3 linked regions of the Nothobranchius furzeri genome follow. The protein of the gene in region 1 purifies or fractionates together with the protein of each later gene. This does not show direct contact. Links are inferred from orthologs where the notes say so. Each region holds a gene or a part of one and is shown on either strand. Other genes may lie near its edges.

Region 1 (4,398 bases):
TCCCCACAGGTTTGTTTGTTCTGAGGTAGTGAGGTTACCAGGATTAAATATGCAAAAATTACATTAATAAAATACTAAAAACACACATTTGATAGAGGAAAATATATACAACTTGTCCTCTTGGACCAGGTATCCGATCCCCAGGGCTCCGTTTTCACCTTCCCTCATCTGATTGGGAAGGATCACAACTCCATCTTTCCCTGTTGGGTTTTCTCAAACAGGTTTAGTTGATTCCTGGTTTATCCGCCTCCCACTTTGCCCAGACCGGATCCATGACTTGAGGAAAAAACCCGTTCACTCTCAGAATTTCCTCCACATTTTTTGTAGTCTTTTCCAGCCTTTCAGGATCGTTGTGGGATGTCAAGATATCATCAATGTGACTGTCCTCTGGGACCAGCTCCTCTACTGCGACTTTGAACTTGACAATAATATAATAAAATCTTTATATAAGATGTATAACGTTTGTAATTAATCACTTTTAATGTGTATATGCGGAAAAGAGTTTGGGTTGGGGGGGGGGGGGTGTCTTTGACAGGCAAGGAGTCCATCCATCCATTTTCATCCGCTTATCCGGAGTCAGTTTGCGGGGGCATTAGCCTAAGGAGAGAGGCCCAGACTTCCCTCTCCCCAGCCACTTGGGCCAGCTCCTCCGGGGGAATCCCAAGGCGTTCCCTGGCCAGGTGAGAGACATATGGGCCATTCTCATCTGTACCGGGTCGGCCCAGGCCGGGTAGCCCCAGTCGGCCCCAGCCTGGCCCGGGTGATTCCACACATCCTTGTCTTAAGCCCATGTGGGCTGATTCTACCCACCAATCAGAGGCTTGCTCTAATGGAAGGTGTGAATTTGCTGTCAGCAGTGGGTGTGTTGGCCCTGGTCGGCCTGAAGCAGACCCCCTCGAGAAGAGGGCTGAGAATGAGCCTTGGTTGGCCCGGAAAAATACCAGGCCACCCAGATATGTAAACAACCTACGCTACCCGACCCGGTACAGATGGGAATGGCCCAATAGTCCCTCCACCGTGTCCTGGGTCTCCCTTTAGGTCTCCTCCTGGTTGGACGTGCCCGAAAAACCTCACCAGGGAGGCGTCCAGGAGGCATCCTGACCAGATGCCCGAGCCACATCAACTGACTCCTCTTAATGTGGAGGAGCAGCGGGTCTACTCCGAGCCCCTCCTGGACGACCAAGCTTCACACCCTATCTCTAAGGGAGAGCCCCCAGCCACTCTGCGGAGAAAACTCATTTCAGTCACTTGTGTCTGCAATCTCGTTCTTTCGGTCTCTACCCAAAGCTCGTGACCATAGGTGAGGGTAGGAACGTAGATCGACCGGTAAATCGAGAGCTTTGCCTTCTGACTCAGCTCTCTCTTCACCACGACAGACCGGTACAACGCCCGCATCACTGCAGACGCAGCACCAATCCACCTATCGATCTCACGCTCCAGTTTTCCCTCACTCGTGAACAAGACCCCGAGATACTTAAACTCCTCCACTTGGGGCAGGACCTCATCCCTGACCCGGAGAAGGCATTCTACCCTTTTCCGAATCAAGACCATGGTCTCAGGTTCAGAGGAGCTGATTCTCATCCCAGCTGCTTCACACTCAGCTGCAAACCGCTCCAGTGAAAGCTGAAGATCACGTTCTGATGAAGCAAACAGGACCACATCATCTGCAAAAAGCAGAGACCTGATCCTCAGGCCACTAAAACGGATGCCCTCCACATCTTGGCTGTGCCTAGACATCCTGTCCATAAAGGTTATGAACAGAATCGGTGGCAAAGGTCAGCCTTGGCGGAGTCCATCTCTCACTGGAAACGTGGACCCAGTGAGATGGGGACCAAGCTCTGACACCGGTCATACAGGGACCCAACAGCCCGTATCAGGCAAGGAGTCCTCTGGGGAAAAAGGTTGGGAAGGAACCTCTAATTTAAGTCAACTGTGCACAAATAAACATATTTCACATAGTTTATTTTACTACGGATTTAAAAAGTCAAGAAAATAGAAATCATGCCCCATCTACACCTGATAAAAATAACGGAAGAAGTACCTTTACTCGCAGGAAGTGCCGCAAAGACCTAAATTTGTTTTCAAAATAAAACACTTAACTCTTTGCCTCAGTTTACTTACTGTCTGAGGACCAAACGTCTTGCGATAGTCTTCTGAGTGAAGCAGTAGAAACGAGCCAACTCCACGTTGTTAGGATTTTGAGATAATATACAATGTGCAGCCTGTAGAGATAAAACCGGTACATTAAGCCCCTTAACACGGTAGCTACCATGCTAGCCGCGCGACTACTGATTTTTCTCGTAACCATTTCTAACCGACCTGATAAAGGTAGTTCATCCTTTGATAGGCCTCCTTGTCCTTTAGTTGATGTGCCATTGAGCAAACCAAAAGAGAGAATTAAAACGCCCACCAGGTGTGTCCGTATGAAGAAAGCTATGACTGAACAAACTTAGTGGCAAACCAAAACACTGTCCGCCATATTTATTACATTTTGCGCATGCGCGACTCCAGCTACTTTTTTACGCTCTAGGATCTGCTTGGGTCGGATCAACATTTGCATGATCTGGGACTGTTTGTTTGGAGGGTGGTCACGGATTAATCTGGGCTTGTTTCATCTGTCACACAAATGTAAACAGTAGTACTTGTGCATCATCTCAGATTTGCAATATTAAATTAGAAAATACAAATATTTATGAAACTCTAAATTTTGTACATTCCATACAAGACAAGTTCACCTCGAATCTCTTTGGGGATTTTATCGAACTTCTGAACATCAAGCTGTCTTTATTATCAACAATTCCTGTTCCAAGAACTCTCCCTTTAGCTTCCTGTGGTCCATGATCAATGTGGTACACATCCTGATACTAAACAGCACCGTGACTACTTTTCCTATGTAGCTAGGATATTTTTTAGGACAATGTTTAAAAAATAAAGACAATAATAGTTCATAGCATAAAGCCAGCAGACATAATAAATCTCTAGTTAAAACTTTAATGACAGGTTTCTGCATGTTTTATACTATAAACCGAAGATCTTTACATTCACATCATGAGAGCAAACAAACGACATTTGTGTGTAGACCAGGCTTTTAGATCTTCAGAATAAAATATAAAAATTCTACAATAGGCTCCTGTTGCAACTTCACCCAATATGGTTGTTTTCAAATCTCCAGTGCACTTCTGGAAGAACGCAAAGGACAAAGGTCAACATAAAATACTCAATTTAATAGCAATAAAGAAAGTATAAACCCTGTCATCTAACATTTTAATTGCCTGTAAGGTGCGCCTCTGATTTGAGGAGACTAAAAATACCGGGGAAGAACAGATGCAGTGGATCGGTCAGGTGTGACAGCTATAGAACGACACGAGCACGGCACACATTCATGATGATCAATGCCGTGAAATGCTTCCTATAAAATGGTGAAGAAATGCTGATAAAACATGCGTGGACACAGCACGTCTGTTGTGTGAGACACATTATAAACACAAAAATGAAATTCAAGTATCAAAATAACTAAGATACTGACAAGCTGAAAAGTCAATTACAAAGGTAGTAAAAGTCGTGGGAAAGGAGACAAACAACACATTAGGCAACTTTTGCTTTTTTTAAGGCAGTTGATTAAAAAAACTAAACAGAACTAGGCATCTTCTTCATTCCAAGTTAAATACAAGCCAAGCCCCAACTTACCACCAGATTTGATGTACATATAAACTATTCCAGGCTCTTAAACTAAGCACTTTAATTTGACTTGTCTTCTGACGTCTGAGAGAAAATGAAGTTCATGTGGACAGCGGTGTGGATGTGCTCGAGATTTTTGGTCTTCTTCACAGTGAGGTTTGTCAGGGCTTCTAAGGCTGGCGAGTCACTCTCAGCCTATTGTCTGGCACAAAATCTAAATGGTTGGCACATGTCTGTGCACAGCATGAGGAGGCAGGCTAGCTGGTTTTGTTCACTAACGATTGCCCTTCATGGCCTCCTTGGCTGCCAGGATGAGTGGTGTGAGACTGGAGAGGGGCTTTGCCAGCTTCAGGAACGGATGCTGAATCAACAGAGAGGAGGACAACAGCCATTTTAATGACACGAAGACAAAATGTAAAACACTGTAAAAATAATGAAAAAGTTTCACCTGCAGGAGTTCCTTCCCACCACCTCTTTTCTCTACATCCATCTCCAGGCAGCGGTTCAGGAAATCTCTGAAAACCGGAGACAGCTTCTCTGGATTCTGAAGCTCAGGTGTGCCATTTGTGGCGATCAGGTATAACGCCTGCCACAGGAGAGACCCGAGAAGACTGGATTAGTGACAGTAGTTGGTAGACAAACGCATCTAAACAGGTGGCAAGGGATCAAACGGTACTGAATGTCAAAACGCATGCAGGTAGCTTAATGACCGATCACATG
Region 2 (4,416 bases), on another chromosome or scaffold:
GTAGGGATTCGTCAGAACCAAGTTTCTGCAAGACAGACTGAACATCTGGAAGATAATCACAAGAGATGTTTGAAAGTGAAGGTTCTACTACTTCCTCTTCTGACTGAAGTCTTAGATCTTGATCTGTCCCTGACTTTCTGGATTCGCTAGTCTGTGGGTTCTGGTTCTTGGGCTGTGTACCTGAGTAGGTGAGAAAGACTGGAGATAAGTTTCCTCGGCCAGTCTGCTGCAGCAGTGGAACCAACCGATGAAACAGGAAAATGTGAGCGTTCTGCAGCGCTGCAACACACGCCTCATCACACTCCTTCAGACTGTTCAGGAATCTGAACAGAAACATCCATCCATGATCAGCAGATCAACCAAACAATTAATAAATAAGATGTCTAAGCCTCAGAACCTCATCCTGGACACGAAGCCTGAGTAGAAACGGGTCGGAACACAGCATCTGGCGGGAAAGAAAATCCTCAGAGGTCTTAACAGGGAAGCCATTCTGGACCGGACCTGCTGGATTAGGCCAGACTGATCTGAACTGGATTGGTGTGGTTCTGCTGCCTCAGCCTGCACACAGAGTCTGTTTTTATGTTTCTGCAAGATGTTCATTAATGAAGCTGATACTAACCTGTTTACCAGTCATAAGCAGCAGTTTTCCACTCAAACTAGTCTGATCAGGTCTGATTTAAATACACTTTTCTGAATAATTATTCTTGTGACCTCCAACAATTATTCTCACACTGCATCAGATTTATTTCACAGGCAGAAGTGTTAGATCGGTAGGATGCCCTGTTTAATAATCAGGGATTCTGTAAATCTGCTCGTTTCTGTTAGGTTACACTGAAACTATAGATTCGTGTCAGGCTAGTGGTTCTGAACACAAAAACCCGCTCAGAGTTCAGGCTGACCCGCTTTGTTATAGCAGTGTAACATCCACTTTGGTTCGGTTTAAGCGCGAGAATCTCAGACGTCTGCAGTAAATTTTCGACTTTTCACTGACCTCTGACCTTTTCTTCTTCTGCTGCTGCTGTTTGTTCCCTGAGCAGCGGTTTGGCACGGCTGCCCCCTGCTGCCAGACTGTTGTTACTGCAGCTGCAGTTCTTTGGAAGCAACAAAGTAAATAAAAATAACCTAGTGAACTACTAGACCTCTTGCGTTGCAAAGTTTAAATAACAGATTTATTTAGTCTGGCTTGCCAGGCTAGTGTAAAGCAGTAAATATGATTGATTTGAACTTTAGTCAAAATTTAGAAAATGAAAAATGAAAGTATTTGATTTCTTTGTAATTTGTCTGTCCTGGTATTAAAGTGATACTAAAATACTTTCTATAATAAAACAAAAATGCACCTCTGTTACTAATGTATGCTTAAATTAGTCATATTGTGTGTGCGTGCACGCACGCGCGCGCGCGCGTGTGTTTAAGTCACTTTAAAACAAGATACGTCTTCCCAGGAGGAAATATCCAAACAGGTTCATGTCAAATTGAGAAAAAAGATTAGCTTTATCACAGAATCCACTGGTTTTCTTCTTTTGTCGTTCTTGGGCTTGGGGCTTCCGCCACCAGCAGGTGGCGGTAATACAAAATATTCTGTGTCAGCCTCAGCCCGTGTCACTCACTCATCGAGAACAAGACTCCAGCTCCCAGCAAGCCTTGCGGTTTTCTATATGTGGAGCTGTATAGGTTCGTGGTACCATGTCTGTGTTTATGGACCTAAACGTGATGTATTCGTCTAATATAAAGCAATTGCAGAGTTTGGTGGAAACAGCTGCTCATCGTGAGTATTCTCGACCTTAAACCAGACCTTTTCTAGTGTTGTGTTTAGTTGGTCCGCCTCGTAACTCAGCTGGTTTTGGTTCGGCTGATGAGGCTCTGGTATCAGTTAAACACTGTCAGTAAATGACTTGATTTGTTAAGATATTAATCGATAATGCTTGTTTATAACATCACTAAGAACAACCCTTATCACTAGATTTTGTGGGAAAAGTTGAATCCGTTTATTAGAGAAATAATCGATCACAGCTTGTTTGCATCTAAAACCCACAAACCCGTAACATCGCCTTGGATTATGTACTTTTGATTAGGAACAATATTTCATAACAAAGCATTCTTTGTTGTCCATTTGACCCTTTGCACGTGCGTAACTGAACAATAACTGTTGAGGATAAAGCCTGAGACATAATCATTACGTCTGACAGGAAACAGAAAGATATCAGATGTTTACTTGATCTTCAGTAGTTTGGAGTATTTACATCAGTGACTGTGACAGGATCGTGATATCCACCTGATTCACACAAACAGAGCTCTTAAAGCACTCAATTTCCTAAACCCTACACAACCACAGATCCAGAATCAGAACCTGGATGATGCAAACCTCACTGAAGGGATTAACTGGGATTTTGTTTTCCCCTCCTACAGTTGGATATTCCACGGTCGCCATCAACTATGTGTTTGAGCTCGTAGCCAAGAAGAAACAGGTCAGACTACCTACTGCGCTGCATTGAGGAACAGCATGGAGTCAGATAGAAGCCTTTGATGTGGCTGCGTTTTGATACTTTATTACATTCTCATTCATTCTTATGAACAGAAACATCCAAATGGTAAAACATCAAAACGGGTTTTATAAAACTGATCTCCGAGCATTCACTTGATCTCTATGGTTAAGCAGATGCTGAATCAATCAGTTGATTGTCAATGAATTTACATTTTGTTTCAAACTTTTATTATTGGGAGTATGTTTATTTTGTCTTTGCAGGAAATTCCCTCACCAAAGCCGATCAATGAGATCTTTGATAAGCTGCCCATGGTGCAGGGCCGTTCTCGTCCAATCAGAGTGCTGAACAGACTGACGCTGGTGATGTCTGACGCCAGTCACTATGTGAGTTGTCTAATTAGAGCTAAGGGATCAATAATCTTGAAATGGATTGTATGATGTGATGCCACAGCCTGTTTTGTGTGTGTGTGTGTGTGTGTGTGTGTGTGTGTGTGTGTGTGTGTGTGTGTGCGTGCGTGCGTGTGCGTGCGTGTGTGTGCGTGCGTGCGTGCTCACAGCCGACCAACTCTCCAGCTTTTCGATTTTTCGACCTCATCGCCCTCCATTCAAGCTCTGAGAAAGTCTTCCATGTGAGCTTCACTGACACTCTGTTCATCTCTCCAACAGGATGATGCTTTCACTGACTACAGGAATGTTGATGGATGAAATATGTGACTTTAAAAAATCAACTTACTGGAAAAACGCACAACAAAACTAAACAAAAGACCATCTGAAACACAACTGGATATTTAACAAAAGAAAAGTTTAAAAAAGACAAAAAAATAATAAATTGACAACATTTAATTAGAAAACACAACAGGACCTAAACTGCAATTTCACTGAATGGAAAAGTTTTCAAGAAACACAACATTATAAAAAATAGAAACTAACTGTGGTTGTAATAGCAGTAGCTGTAATTTGTCCTGGAAAACACAGCTGTACAATAATTACACCTGTATGAAACAGACTGAGTGGAAAGCACTCTATTTTTACTGAAGTATGTGTATTATGTGTGTGTGTGTGTGTGTGTGTGTGTGTGTGTGTGTGTGTGTGTGTGTGTTATTCAGGCAGCTTGCACGTTGTACGATATCGACATCATCTGCATCCCAGTGACAGAGAAGCTACCCTTTTTCTTCAAGAGAGCGCCGATCAATGCGGTGACAACCAAGGCTTTTGTTTGTTTGTTTATTTGTGTGTGTGTGTGTTTTAATGAATGTGTGAACCTGTGTAAGTTCAGGCCATCGAGAGAGGCGTTGCATTTGAGGTATCCTATGCTGCAGCCATCAGAGACTCTACCATGAGGCGCTACACCATCGCCAACGCCGTGTGCCTGATGGAGAGCTGTAAAGGGAAGGTATGCATGTCCTTGCATCTGATTGGCTAGCTGCAGAGTAATTTACACTATGCTGTTATTTGACATAAGCTCTGTGACATCACGTTGCAGGTGAGATCTTGAGCTCTGTTTCTGTTTTTCAGAACGTGATCCTGTCGAGTGCAGCTGACAAGGTCAGTGATCAGCTACGTCTGTGGATCAAACATGAATTTAACTAAAGGTTCTGTTTCACCAAATCAGAACATTTCTAATAACTGAGTTTTAGCCCTTTTTGTCCACCGTACTTCTCTGACCTGATATTTGTGTTTTCAGTCTTGGGAGCTCAGAGGACCATATGACATCGCCAACCTGTATCCTTTAACCATTGTTCATTAATCTGACATAGGGCTCAGTGTTGCCGCAGTCTGTGAGATATCAGAACAGACCATCGTGTGTGTTTTCACAGAACTGTGTCTGGTGTGTAGTGTTGTACAACACATTTCATGTCTTGCGTTCCTGATCTGGTTCTCAGAGGTCTGCTGTTTGGTTTGTCCAACCGAGATGCTAAAGAATCTATCTCGTC
Region 3 (4,382 bases), on another chromosome or scaffold:
CATGATCAAAAAACACCTGAGAACATTTCTAGGTAGTCTCTGATTCATAAAGCGGAGATTGTGTGCAATTGTGCGTACTCCATATTTTATAGATCACAAACCTACTTGGCATAAGTACATTTTTTTGCTGAGTTTAAGTACAGTTTTAGTAAGAATTCTATGCTATGTTTTATAGATGAGACCCCTGACCTGTACTGGAATGGTTATTGTGTGAAGGTCCTTGAGACGACTGGTCGTGACTTGGCGCTATAGAAATAAACTGAATTGAATGTTGGAAGTCCTAGTAAGCTCTGTTTATCCATGTATTTTATTCAAGGAGTGGAAGGAGTTTGGTGAAACCATGGTCCTGAGTCAGAAAAGGGTAGAATGCCTTGTCCAGGTCAGGGATGAGGTCCTGCCCCAAGTGGAAGAGTTTAAGTATCTCGGGGTCTTGTTCACGAGTGAAGGAAAGATGGAGCGTGAGATCGATAGATGGATTGGTGATGCAGGCTTTGTACTGGTCTGCCATTGTTAAGACAGAGCTGAGTCAGAAGGCAAAGCTCTTAATTTATTGATCTATCTACATTCCAACCCTCATCTACAGTCACGGGCTTTGGCAGTGACCAAAAAAATGAGATCGCAGATACAAGCGGACTAAATGCATTTTCTCTGTGAGGTGGCTGGACACCTCCTTAGAGATAGGGTGAGAAATGTGGAGGGGCTCGAAGTAGATCCTCTGCTTCTCCACATATGGTTAGGATGCCTGCTGGACCTGGTGAGGTTTTCCGGGCACACCAACCAGGAGGAGACCTAATGGAAGACCCAGGATACGCTAGAGGGACTATGTCTCTCAGCTGGCCAGGGAACACCTTGGGAATCCCCCGGAGGAGCTGGCCCAGGTGGTTGGGGAGAGGGAAGCCTGGGCCTGGCTGCTGATCAGCAGATGGATGTTCTCTGGTGTTTTTGTCTACAGCTGACTGAACTTCATGATGACGAGAAACAATAAGAGCCAATAGTGTTTAAAACAAAGCTGTTCACCTGTAGAACTCCTACAAATGCATCACTTCCGGTAGTCACCCACAGAACAAAACTAATCTTTATTTACGCAGGTTAAACACGTGGTTAGCTAGAAACGGCGCGCGTTCCCGACGCAGGGTACACGTTCTACCTGGGATACCGACATCAGTACAACACCGGAGCAGGACCGTTCTCATTAGGTCACGTTTCTGATCCAATACGTCACAAATAACAACATACCGGTTGTCCTCCTCCGCGTCATCAAACTGCCCTGGTACGGCAGCCACCTCCACCATGATGTCACGTGAATAAACAGAAACCAGGACCAAGTTCTGCTCGGGTTACCCTAGGTTCGGACCGGAGCGCGCTTTCACCACCGCGTGTTTTCTTCACTTCCGGCGTAGACCACGTGACTACGGGGACCCACGAGGCTCTGAAAACAGCACGACATCCTCCTGCTCAGATCTACAGAACCTGTAGAACATCCAGAACTTCCGCGGTTCCGTTTGGTTTCATGCTAACGGGTTCTCGTCTGGATCCGGTCTCGACGAGGGTACCGTGAATATGTGTTCGGATCTGGACCGGACTCCTCGGACTCTGCTGGTCTGTGATCGGTCCAGTTTCCTGGACGAGAAGAACCGGGTCAGCCCTCAGGTGGAGAAGCTGCACTTCAACCACAAGGTGAGAGCTGCGCGTGCACGCGCTGTGACGAGCCAGTGTTTTGCCCATGCCGTGCATGCCCTGTCGCGGGAGCGCGCATCGCTGCACCGACATCTGAGTCACGAGGCAACTGAAGTATAAACTTTTCTCATCCGGGTACTTGCTGAATAGATAGGTGAAAATAATAACAGAACCCTGCTGCCAGGTACGGGTCCAGGTGATGTCCAGTTTCTGCTGCTTCTACCTGCAGCATCACAAAGTCGTGCTACCTTCTGTTGACTGGGTTCATCTGTGCAGGTATCTGTACTGCTGCCTGGGTGTAGCGTCACCCCCTCCAACCTGGACTTGGTGATGAACACCTTCAGCAGTTTCTACCTGATCAAGAAGCTACCAGTACACGAGCTGCTGGACCCAGGCCTGCAGGGTGCCATAAACCAAGGTAACACAACACCTGTATATACCATTTAGTTATCAGTACACACCTGTGTGTACTTGTTATTTAGTACTTACCTGTACACACTTGTCTGAACCTTCTTCAGGTGTTGTGTATGGTCTGTCCTTTGGGACTCGCATCGATGAAGATACCTGTGTTGCTTTGATGCCAAAAGGTAAAACAGGCGACAGCTTTGACTTCTTCAGTGCAACATGAAAAAAACTGAGTGGTTCCTCTGGTCCCTGCAGGACGTCTGGTTCTGTCTCTGGACAAAGACTCGTACGAACTTCTGGGGGTTGAGGGGAAACCGTCCAGATTCAACCACAGAACCTGCAGCAGATTTGGTCAGGTTTACTTTTGTTTTCTAAAGGTCACCAAGTCCAGATCGATCCTGCAGACCTTCATCACTCTGGTCTGGTCTCTGGTGGGTCTGCAGACCTTCATCGCTCTGGTCTGGTCTCTGGTGGGTCTGCAGACCTTCGTCACTCTGGTCTCTGGTGGGTCTGCAGACCTTCATCACTCTGGTGGGTCTGCAGACCTTCGTCACTCTGGTCTGGTCTCTGGTGGGTCTGCAGACCTTCATCAGTCTGATCTCTGGTGGGTCTGCAGACCTTCATCAGTCTGATCTCTGGTGGGTCTGCAGACCTTCATCAGTCTGATCTCTGGTGGGTCTGTAGAACTTCATCACTCTGGTCTGGTCTCTGGTGGATCTGCAGACCTTCATCAGTCTGATCTCTGGTGGGTCTGTAGAACTTCATCACTCTGGTCTGGTCTCTGGTGGATCTGCAGACCTTCATCAGTTTGATCTCTGGTGGGTCTGCAGACCTTCATCACTCTGGTCAGGTCTCTGGTAGGTCTGCAGACCTTCATCACTCTGGTCAAACATGTCACCATATCACCAGCTGTGATGACACGATTTTCGTCTCCAGATCCAAAGTTTGTTTAAAGTTTCCACATTTTCTGTCAAGCGTTTCTGTATAAACCGCGCGGTTTGCGTAGAAAGTCCCTTACACCGTTTTCTGACCCGTTTTGTGCAGAAGCAGCTTTCTAAAGGAAGTCCCAGGACTATAGGTGTTGGGTCTCCAGGTACCAGGTGTGAAGGGACCCGTGCGGTAGCCTAAAAAAGCCAGTTGACTAAACAGCAGCAGAGCCAGGACACTGGGTGGAGTTTTAGGGTGAATTTATCCTCACTAGAAGGAACCTGCAGGAAAGAATGTCCAGATGTTCCTGACTCAGGTCCGGGTTGTTCAGTCCTGACCTGTTTGCTGAGCTCAGCCTGAACAGAACCAGAAACCAACCGAGTGTGATGTCTCCTGCAGTGGTCTCTGTGGACCTGACGGACAGCAGCATGGCACCTGGTGGACGGGGCCACACCCGGCTCCTTACAGGTCTTCGGTCACACCTTCAGCTGCAGACAGACTTCCTACTGTCCCATCATCCAGGTGACACACCATTGTTAAGGATGGTTACATGTGATCTTCTCCTTACAGGTGAAACTCATAAAAACTAGAACAAGGGGTAAAGGTCACTGTTGTCACTAATCCACCCTGAAAGGTGAGACTAATCAATGAGACAGACTCATCCTGTCAATCCAGATGTTTCCGCCTTTATCTGTTCTACCTGTGATGATTACGGCTTCCAGATGATGACGACCCCACATTTAACATCTCAGAATATCATGTAAAGGTTCAATGTTCTCCAATCAGCTGATGAATCCACAACACAGGCAGAGGCTTCCTGAGCCTTTAGATGGTCTCGCAGTCTAAACTGGACTTATGGACCAGATTCTCTTTTACTGTATCACCTGTACTCCATTCTGCCTCTCAGAGGGTGGGGCCTCTCTACAGCCACTCCTGTCTCGTTATGATTGGTCCAAACACGAACCTGAGGTCAGCTGCCGCCACCTGACTGACCTGACCTGTCCCGACTTTCGGTCATGTGACTGTCACAGTCTTCTGGAGTGGATTGGAGCTGTGGAGGCCGACATCAGCTGGTGAGTGGTCCAGTCAGGGTCACGTGTCCAAGTGTTGTGACTACAAGTCGTTCTTCTGTGGTTTCAGTGAGAGCTCATCCAGCAGCTTCCTGTCATCGTTCACCTGTCCAGAGCCCAATGACGTGCTCAGTCATGCTCTGAGCGTGTCCATCTGTGGCCTGCTGTTGCCACACGATGTGCAGCGACTGATCCAGGAGCTCAGGTTAGCTCTCTCACACAAGCACACCTTTACCTGAACAGCTGACGACAAAATAACTCACCTGTGCTTCAGGTGTCACCTGCAGCAAACTCAGCTGGAGT

What was found.
Region 2: the proteins of rpp21 (region 1) and rpp30 purify together in Homo sapiens (co-immunoprecipitation; 3 studies listed by BioGRID and IntAct, counting the BioPlex papers as one, with this or other methods). This does not show direct contact. The link is inferred for Nothobranchius furzeri from reciprocal best matches to the Homo sapiens genes RPP21 and RPP30.
Region 3: the proteins of rpp21 (region 1) and rpp40 purify together in Homo sapiens (co-immunoprecipitation; 3 studies listed by BioGRID and IntAct, counting the BioPlex papers as one, with this or other methods). This does not show direct contact. The link is inferred for Nothobranchius furzeri from reciprocal best matches to the Homo sapiens genes RPP21 and RPP40.

What each region holds. Positions count from the first base shown.
Region 1 is NC_091748.1:41,191,439-41,195,836, reverse strand, and holds the start of rpp21 (ribonuclease P protein subunit p21), read right to left. Parts: upstream 2,830-4,398; 5' UTR 2,377-2,829; coding exon 2,320-2,376; intron 2,223-2,319; coding exon 2,122-2,222; intron 1-2,121. Other genes in the region: pak2b (serine/threonine-protein kinase PAK 2b), read right to left, coding at 3,953-4,039, 4,127-4,264. UniProt on the Homo sapiens protein: Component of ribonuclease P, a ribonucleoprotein complex that generates mature tRNA molecules by cleaving their 5'-ends.
Region 2 is NC_091756.1:51,152,724-51,157,139, forward strand, and holds the start of rpp30 (ribonuclease P protein subunit p30), read left to right. Parts: upstream 1-1,609; 5' UTR 1,610-1,683; coding exon 1,684-1,765; intron 1,766-2,406; coding exon 2,407-2,465; intron 2,466-2,743; coding exon 2,744-2,866; intron 2,867-3,039; coding exon 3,040-3,111; intron 3,112-3,588; coding exon 3,589-3,678; intron 3,679-3,758; coding exon 3,759-3,875; intron 3,876-3,997; coding exon 3,998-4,027; intron 4,028-4,166; coding exon 4,167-4,204; intron 4,205-4,365; coding exon 4,366-4,416. Other genes in the region: nudt13 (NAD(P)H pyrophosphatase NUDT13, mitochondrial), read right to left, coding at 1-45, 181-323, 398-600. UniProt on the Homo sapiens protein: Component of ribonuclease P, a ribonucleoprotein complex that generates mature tRNA molecules by cleaving their 5'-ends. Also a component of the MRP ribonuclease complex, which cleaves pre-rRNA sequences.
Region 3 is NC_091751.1:33,814,044-33,818,425, reverse strand, and holds the start of rpp40 (ribonuclease P protein subunit p40), read left to right. Parts: upstream 1-1,486; 5' UTR 1,487-1,560; coding exon 1,561-1,677; intron 1,678-1,723; exon of another isoform or gene 1,724-1,861; intron 1,862-1,953; coding exon 1,954-2,095; intron 2,096-2,195; coding exon 2,196-2,264; intron 2,265-2,337; coding exon 2,338-2,433; intron 2,434-3,408; coding exon 3,409-3,531; intron 3,532-3,916; coding exon 3,917-4,082; intron 4,083-4,149; coding exon 4,150-4,284; intron 4,285-4,353; coding exon 4,354-4,382. Other genes in the region: riok1 (serine/threonine-protein kinase RIO1), read right to left, coding at 1,237-1,292. UniProt on the Homo sapiens protein: Component of ribonuclease P, a ribonucleoprotein complex that generates mature tRNA molecules by cleaving their 5'-ends. Also a component of the MRP ribonuclease complex, which cleaves pre-rRNA sequences.